Coturnix japonica: one gene and its partner. The protein of the gene in region 1 interacts with the protein of each later gene in a pairwise test. Links are inferred from orthologs where the notes say so. Each region holds a gene or a part of one and is shown on either strand. Other genes may lie near its edges. The genes, in order: ZHX1 and ZMYND11.

What was found.
Region 2: the proteins of ZHX1 (region 1) and ZMYND11 interact in a two-hybrid assay, tested with the Homo sapiens proteins (2 studies listed by BioGRID and IntAct). The link is inferred for Coturnix japonica from reciprocal best matches to the Homo sapiens genes ZHX1 and ZMYND11.

The regions. Positions count from the first base shown.
Region 1 is NC_029517.1:124,385,042-124,389,470, forward strand, and holds the start of ZHX1 (zinc fingers and homeoboxes protein 1), read right to left. Parts: upstream 2,937-4,429; 5' UTR 2,722-2,936; coding exon 97-2,721; 3' UTR 1-96. UniProt on the Homo sapiens protein: Acts as a transcriptional repressor. Increases DNMT3B-mediated repressive transcriptional activity when DNMT3B is tethered to DNA. May link molecule between DNMT3B and other co-repressor proteins.
Region 2 is NC_029517.1:8,806,561-8,810,982, forward strand, and holds the start of ZMYND11 (zinc finger MYND domain-containing protein 11), read left to right. Parts: upstream 1-1,547; 5' UTR 1,548-1,778; intron 1,779-4,422. UniProt on the Homo sapiens protein: Chromatin reader that specifically recognizes and binds histone H3.3 trimethylated at 'Lys-36' (H3.3K36me3) and regulates RNA polymerase II elongation. Does not bind other histone H3 subtypes (H3.1 or H3.2).

The DNA of each region.
Region 1 (4,429 bases):
TTGCTGAAGCTGAAGGCCATGAAAAATTGTTTGGCTCTTCACCATAACATCAAACCTAACTCACAGGTTTTTGGCTCCCAGATTCCAAACTGCACATCAATCTGATTTTGAAAGTTTACGCTTAACATGTCGTGGGGGTTCCCAAGTATCACTATCATCCGTTTCCTCTTCATCTTCCTGATCTTCCAGCATTTCATCTTCCTCCTCGTTTTCCTCAAACAGCTCTATTCCGAGTTCTAATCTTCTCTGCCTTTCTGCAAACCACTCTCTGACCTGCTCATACCCCATGTGAGATTTAGCTACGAGTTCATCAAGGTCTTGCTCATTAAGGAATTTGTGCTTCATATAGTAGTCCTTCAAGATTGCTGTTCCAGTTTTGAATTTTATGACAGACACACCTCGGTCCCAGCAATTTAACCTCTTGCTTCCCCGAGGCCTCCCTCGAGGCCTCCCTCTTCCCCGCCCCTTTGGTCTTCCTCTCCCTCTCTTCCTTGAAAAGCCTTGGCCATTCAGACTGTTTGCATTGGCACTCTGGTAGTAATAATACCACTTCAATCCCCCATTTTTCCAGGCATAGCGAGTATCTCCAAACCAACTCACAATTTCTGATCTCGGGAGCCCCGTTTCTTCTGCCAGCTTGTTGTACTCCTGTGGAGATGGCCACTGAGTACGGACAAAAGAACTTTTAAGCATGTGCAACTGCTCTGGTGATTTTTTGCCTACTTTGCTTGAAGCGGTGCTCCCTGATTTTGACCCTGCTGCTCCATCTCCCACAGATGTTTCTCCCGCAGCTTCCTCTTTTGAGCTGCTGGCATTGCTCTCATTCATCTCAGTCCCCTCCTCCTTTAAGACAGTAGATTTCCTTCTTTCTGTAAACCAGGCATCAATCTCTCTCCTGGTAAGTTTGGTTTGGGCTCTTAACCTATTCATCTCTTCATCAGTAAGGACAGGATTATTAAGAAAACTTGCTTGGAGGACTTGCAACTGCTCGGCTGTCTTCTCTTTGAATTTCTGTGGGGTGAAGTCAGGAAATGCACTCCAGGACGACTTGTTCTGTGGAACAACTCCTGTTGGAGACTCATTCATTTCGTCACTGGAGTCAATAATGATGGTGGCACATGAGTCACTGTTGAGATGGATCCCATGGTTATTCTTTGAGTTTCTCTGATTGTAGCGTGTATCGCTGAACCACTTCTTGATCTCTCCCTTAGTCAGGCCTGTTATTTTCATAAGTCTACTAATTTCTGAATCCTGAGGAAACTGATTTTTAAGGTAGCTGACCTTTAATTCTGCCAGTTGCTCCTTTGTTTTTTTTGCTCGCATGCCAAAGTTATCGGGATTCATGTGTGCGGTTTCATTTTTGATAGGCTGAGGGGCTGGAACGGCAGCAACTTGTTTGGTTTCTGCAATAGGCTGAGCAGTGTGAATCTGACTCTTCTGTAACTGGGTTTGGTTTGGGACTCCTGCTACAGTCAAAGCTATTGGGGCTGTTACTGGTAACGTATTTGCACCTGCAACTTGAGTGAGAACAAGTCCTGGCTGACCAACTATTTGGCATGTCTGTAAAATTGAAGGTAAACCATTGCTGGCAGCGGAAATATGCGCTGGAATAACGGTAATTGTCTGTGGCACAGTATGCACTGTGCCATTAAATTGTTTCCTCCTTGCTTCCTCCACTTCCTCTGGTGTCCAGCTCACACCATGTTTCAGACGCTGGGCAGAAAACCAGATTTTAATCTGTTCCTCGGTGTACTTAGCTTGAGTGGAAAGAACAGTGATCTCTGACATGGTTGGATATGGGAATTTGTTATAGGTGTTGAGCAAAAGAGGATTGTTGTCCAAAGCAGTATTATAGGTTGGAATGCTGTTTACAGGTATCAGGACTTTGGGGATCAGGTTTGAGTTCTGTGGAGCTGTAACAGCCGTTATAACCTGTGCCACCCCAGGCTGAATCACTGGGGTCACAACCGTACTAGCTACATCGGCCGCACTGCAAGCAACCGAATGGCTCGCTTTGGACTCAGAAACTGCCAGTGGTGGGTTTTCTACTACTTCTTCAGAGTTTGGCTCATTTTCCTTTCCCTTCTCTTCACCAGGAATGCCATCGACTACATTGTGGAAAACAGCAATGCGTTTAGTCTCAGTTTTGTTTTTCATCATTTTCATAATAGGAGTTTTGCTAATGGAGATCCCAGCGGAGGGGGGCTCAGAAGGGTCAGCCTGTTCAGCATTTTCTTCTCTAACAAAACTCCCATCAAAAGTGAGATCATTTACTGTTTGTTCAAAGATTGTCTGATTATTACGTTTCACCATGGTCAACTTAAAATTCTCCTCTCCAGGGTGATACTTCAAATTATGTTCTGAGAGAGCATCGTATCTTTTGGTGAGAAAATTGCATTCTACACAGACATAGGATGAATTTAATACTACATTGGGATGTTCTGAGTCCACATGGAAAGTAAACATATTGAGATCTGGAGTCTGAAAAGAACAGTATTTACACTCATAACCACCTTCTACTTTATTTGTATTTTTCTGATTGTCTGAATCCACGTTCTCATGGACATCCTCTTCGCTTGCTATGCTCTCTGCTGTAGGATTATTATCTGCTGGCTTGACTACAGGTGGTCCTTCCTCCAAGTCTGATACCATTTCGAGATCCGGATCTTGCTCGTTGGCCAAGACCATGCACGGTGTTGTTGATTTTCGTTTACTTGCCATGCCTGTTAGGTGAAAGTGATACTGACTGGTCAGATACAGACTTAGCTTCAAGCTCTTCTTGATTAATAATAATGGCTTTTGGTACTTCAAGTCAGTTCTTGTAACGTCTCAACATTTATCCCATTAGCAGCTTTTCTTTTGTAGTGCAATCAGATTAAAAAGAGACAGTTGAGGATGAAATGTTGAGACACTGTTTTAAAGTCCACATCCACCACCTGTAGCAAAGAAGAGACAGTATAATTAGTTCAATTTAAAGAGTATCTTCTATTCTGACACACAGTATGATTTAATTCAACCCTTTGGTGTTCAATCTGCCACTGTTCACCCCTGAAACCAGCAGACCCATTCCAAGAAGAGACTGATCCTCAAGGCTAGAGTAAGAAAGGCAAATTCCAACTTACTTATTATCAGCTCAAATTTATGCAATGAATGCAACAAAAGGCATAAGACAGAGAATGGCACAGAAAATATAATCTTCTGTTTCCCTACAAATTTTGGCAGTCTTACCCTTGGACTGCTTTATCTAGGCTACAACACTCTTTCAGCTGCAATAGAAGCTCAAGTCCTTCCCATCACAAACTCAGCATGGCATCCCCGTGATGGTCTTGTCTGCTATGCCCAAGGGTGTGAAGGCTCCTAGAAAATGAACGCTTAGCATATTTTTCTACTGCATTATGTACATACATGTATGCATGCCCTGGGTCATTTCTCCCAAGTTTGAAAAGAGACGAAACAACGCCTTGTTAAGGCACTCCACAAGACAGGGATGGCAGACCTCTCTTCCTAGCTCCCCAGATGTCATTCTCCAATTGAAGGCCAATCCCAGACCAATAAATTGTTAGCATGTGGTAATTAACTACATTGTTTTCATAGCTCCGTGCATTAATGGGGACAAGACTGACCATGCAAACTTCACTAGAGAAAAGGCATTAAAGAGTGACACAGTAGGCAGAAGCCAAAGAAAATTATATATTTTCTATTCAGAATTCCTACTTCATTTATAAGAAAAAAACTACTGAAGTACAAATTAAATTTGAGGCCTACATAAATTCAGAGAATAAATATGTTCTTAAATTGCCCAGAGTGGAGTGAGCTGTTATCCCATGGGGACCACAACTAGTCTATTGGAAATGATGCACAAGCTACTGAAAAGGGTTATAAACTCTGTAACAGTTTCCTTCTTAAAACAAAATGAGACACTGATTGCTCAAGCCAGAAATCCCATAGATTCATGAATTTTTATATAGCAGAACATCACCTACTTCCCAGAGCAATGGCATGCTCAAGTGCAAAAGGAAGACTCAAGCAGCTGTTTCAGAAGGTTTATAAAGGTAACAGCATGTAACAGGTTAAAAACAGAAAGACAGCTTTGCTCATGACAGAATCTTAAAAGAAAGCAGTGTCAAAAGAAGAGTAAAGAAGTGAGAAAGGGAAAAAAATACCATTTCTGCTCCAAACACAATCTTTAATTTTGATAACGTGGACAGCAGATGCTGTTCTTAACCTCACACATTTTTTCTTCAGGCCAAAGACATTAGCGTTCATCCACAGCTATCACACAGCACTGCTCTGTAAGCTGATTTTTGAGACTGCACATCACCACAGTCATCTGCAAAATCCTCACCAAATGTCTGTAAGTGATCCTCCAAATCTATCTGTACTACTTCTGTGCACAGCCTGGCACAACGGGCTGCTTATGCCAAGGGTA
Region 2 (4,422 bases), about 120 Mb from region 1:
ACCCAGTGGTACTGGGTATCTGGATGTTCTAGCTGAAGAATTAAAGGCAGCTATGTTTGCTGCTAGCTACACTGCTTTCCTGTTTGCTTCTGGGTGCAAAAAAAATGGTATGCCTTAAACACACCCACTTGCACAAACCTGTTAGCTTGAATGAATAGTTGAAACAGTAGAAACGATAAGGACCCAAACGTCTTTACTTATAGAAATACAGCTTAGATGCAACTTGTACAGAGGTTTCAAAGGAACCTAAGGGAACCAAGCCACCAATATCCCATGGAAATTTGGCATATATTTCAATCCAGTGTCTTTTTTCTTTAAATTACATGTCTGAACAAATTCAGAGCCAAGCATCACAACTAAATGTTTAACGCAAGGTAGCCTTTCTGTAATTGTACCCTTCTTGCTTAAACAACAACAACACAAAAGAGCCTGTAAATTTCATTTGTTATTTGTTATTAAAAACAATATGATGAAGTTAATAAACTACATTATCACTGTTCGGTAGCTGCCCAACCCCTCAGGTAGCTTTGAAAGCTGATTACCAGCACTTTTATTCCTATCTATTTATTTTAGATAAAGTAAAATGTTCCTTCATGTTTAAATACACAATAGGAGTAAAGCTTTATCACTGCTGCGCAACAAACTCTTATTTGCACTTTAGTTCTGAAAAGAAGAGCTCTATGTATCAGTCTCAAAGAAGTGTGGTTTGAGACACCACTAAAAATCTCATTTACTAAACACACTGGAGAAACTTTAACTGCTCAGCATGTCAATTGTGTTAAACCTTTGACTGCATGGGCAGAATGGATGCATCTTTTTAATGCTTAGCAGCCAAAAACTACTGTAATGATGCTAATGACTTCTCATGTAAGTGCAATTATTTGCATGCCTAAATTTTCACAGAATGAAACTTACAGTTAAAAATATATAAAATCTATAAAATATGCCACATTGCAGATCAAGATTCATTAATTACAAAATATGTTATTTTCAATTACTTGATTATTTAAATGCTTCAGAAACTTTATTAGTTTGTGGGTTTTTTTTTCTTTTTTCTTTTCTTTTCTTTTTTTTTTTTTTGTCATGTATAAAAATATTTAACAAATAGTTTATTTAAAAACAGGATAAAATGTCTGTGTTCTCATGCTACAACCATATATATATATTTATGCCTATGTAATTGTATATTTCATAGTACTATAGAACTCCTAATCCTGCAGTGAAAGATCCACAGCTTTGAACATACAGCCAGCCAGTTCTGGGAGAGAACAATGACTCTGTGTGGTTTAGTTTCTGTTGCTCGAGATGAATATTCACTTTTGAAAATGTTTTCCATTATTTCTCCAAGCTGGACTTCACAATAAGAGGAACTGGCATGTAGCAGAATCGGGTAACTGGTACATATTTCCCCTGCATTAAGAGAGGATCCAGAACTAACAGCGTGATAGAATACATTTATAATAAATAGTTAAAGATCTGTTTCACGTGTATAAAAAAAAAATAATAAAAGAAACAAACAGCAACTCCAGTAGACACCACTAGAGTTCTCCTTCTCCCAAATATCCCTAGCACCATCCTAAACCCTGTTTACCCCAGAAACCTGAACTGTGGACAGACAGAAGAGGAGAGCGAGAGAGAAAATTCAGACACAATAAAACTCTGAGGGGAAAAATATGTGGAAGGAGGAGGCAGCAGCGGCCTGGGGAAGGGATTGAAAAGTTTCCCCTGGCTTAACTTCGCCCCCCCTGCAGCAGCAGAAGCAGCGGCAGCAGCACAAGGTGAGAGAGACTTTTAAGTCTGGGAAGGAGGGGTGTGTGTGTGTGTGTGTGTGTGTGTGTGCGGGAGGGGGGGTGTTGAATTTACAGCCCCGTGGATATTTCTGTGTCTGCCTCCCTGGCTTTGGGGTGCTCGTGGCACTGCGTCTCATGCTGGGTGGATTTTTTTTTTTAATATGATGGAGGATTATAAACATGGCGCCTTAAAAAAACTACAAAATCATGTACACACTGTTCCAAGGAGATGGGGGAGAGGGGACAGGGGAAGGGCTGGGCACGAGGGGAGGGGGCAATCCTGCCCCGTGGGGGAGCATATGGGGAGGGGGGAGCAATTATACTTAATAATAAAATGTGTGGGGCCGCGGGGGGTGGGGGGATGGAAGGCGGGATTATATATATGTATGTATGTATATATATAATATTTTTCGGAGTGGGAAGGATTATCGCAACCCGCTTGGAAATCGAGGAGGAGAAGGGGACGGCGGCAGAGCGCGTGTGATTATTAACGGCGATTATTTTTGTCCCTACACCTTTTCCCCGCTCGTATTTCGGCCGCCAAAAGCCGGCGGTTTCCCCGAGTTGCAGCCCGCCCGGATCGGGCCGTGCAGAGCCGGGAGCCGATGGGTGGGGAGAGGGACACATCGAAACGCTCCGCGAGGGGCCTGCAGGGCGCGGAGGAGCCGGGGACTCGCGTGAGAGGCGAGACCGAGCGGGGTGTGGCGCAGCCCGGCCTCGGCCCCGCCGCCCCTCGGCTCCGCTCCCCCACGCGTGGCTCCCGCTCGGTTCGCCGCGCTCCCCTCCTTTCTCCTTTTCTCTCACTTCTACCCCACAACCCCCGCATTTCCTCGCTGAGGTGGGGGATGCCTATTCGGAGGACGGGTCTCGGCCCGAGTAATGGCAGCTGCTCGACAGCGCCGAGAGAGACGGCGGCTCCTCGCAGGCCGGGAGCGGGACCGCGACTCCCCTTCCCCGCGGGGGTGGGGAGGAGAAAGGGACGAGAAAGGGGGCGAACTCGGAGCCCCGGCCCTTATGCCTCCGGGCGGCTGCGGGAGGGCTGAACCGCCCCCGCGGAGAGAACGGCCGTGGAGCCGAAGGGACAGGCGGGGGCTCGGCCGTACAATCCGCACCGCCCGGCCTCCAGCGCAGCCCCGAGGCCGCAAATCCGCCCCGGGGTAGAGACGAGCGGCCCGTTTCTGCGCTCCCCCTTTCCCCTTCCCCCCTCCCCCGTCTCTTGTGATGGCCGTGCGGAGCCTTCGCGCTCCCTCCAGAAATAGTTCGCCCGGCGTGATAGGGCCCCGCGGGCCTCGGCGGTCGGGCTTAAGGAAAAAGCCTAGACTTGCTTTTGGCGGCATTTTTAGTGGTTTTTGTTGTTTGTTAGGCACACACCCCCGTTCCCCTAAGCCTTGTCTCTGCGTAACTCCTTTCTGTTCACTTTCTGAGGCGTTGTCCTCCATCCCCAGCCGCGGGGATTGTCCAGAGGCCTATTCATAGCCTTTCTTTTATGAGGAATAGATGAAAGCATGTGTGAGGGGGGTTTCCCATAGCAGGGATGATCAGGAGCTTTACTGATCTTCCCAGTGTGCCATAAAAAAGTCCTCCTGTAAAATATTAAGGAGTTGGAAAACTTTGTGCCTCTGTTTTGGTCCTGTCCTGAAAGCAGCAAGTTCAATTTGGGATTATATTTTGTTTGTTTGTTTGCACAAGTGGCAAGTGCAGGTGCTGCAGCAAGGGGTGACTTAAGGAGAGGAAAAGGGATTAAGAAAAAAACTCTTTAATTTGGCACTGGTTGGTTTTATGATTGCATAATTCGGTAGGTAATGTCCTTGAATTGTCTACCACAATGTCTGTACCACAGGAGTATTACTATTTGCTGTGAAGAAGTTCTATATGATCTTGCTGCAGTGAAGAGGACAGAAGGTAGAAAATGCTTTCTTGTCTCAGTGATGCTTTGTTTTCTTTTCTTTTCTTGCACTTCTGTTGCAATTCATGGTAGGAAATTGCTGAATTGACCTGGGGTGAGCACTGGGACAGGTGTTGGGGTTAGAGTGGGAGTGGAAGTGCCGGCTTGTGGTTCAGATTGTAGTCCTTTGGGCTGTTAAGGCCTCATCCTTCAGTGGGAAGGACCTGGCATCTTTCCACACATTTTTCTTTCTTCCATTTTTTTTTCCTCTTCTAAATCTTACCAACGTTGAGCACATGCTACAGAACGCCTTTAGGGAAGTCAGCTACTTGCTGACTGCTGTTTGATACAAAAGTGAAAGTACCCTCAAAATAATTCCCCGTGTGGATTGTTGGTTACCGCCAGCTTTTTCATGCCTAAACAAACATTCTCTGTCCTGCAGATATGCAGTGGGGGGGCAGGATGGGGTAGGTAGTACTGCGGAGAGCACTTCATCCTTCTGATTGTGAGTTTAGATATACAAATGGAGTAAAAGGTTACTGTAAAAAGGTTACTGTATCAATGGCTGTTTGTTGGCTGTGCTGTGGTTTGTGCGGTCGTGGAGAGGCACCTGCAATGTGGTGTCAGAGGCAGCACCCAAGGACAGAGGGAGTCTTCTGGAACACTTCTTTACCTGAAGAAAAATGACTTCTTGTGAGCTGAATTGCATGATGGAAATTAACTCATGATAAACTCAGCTGTAACTGG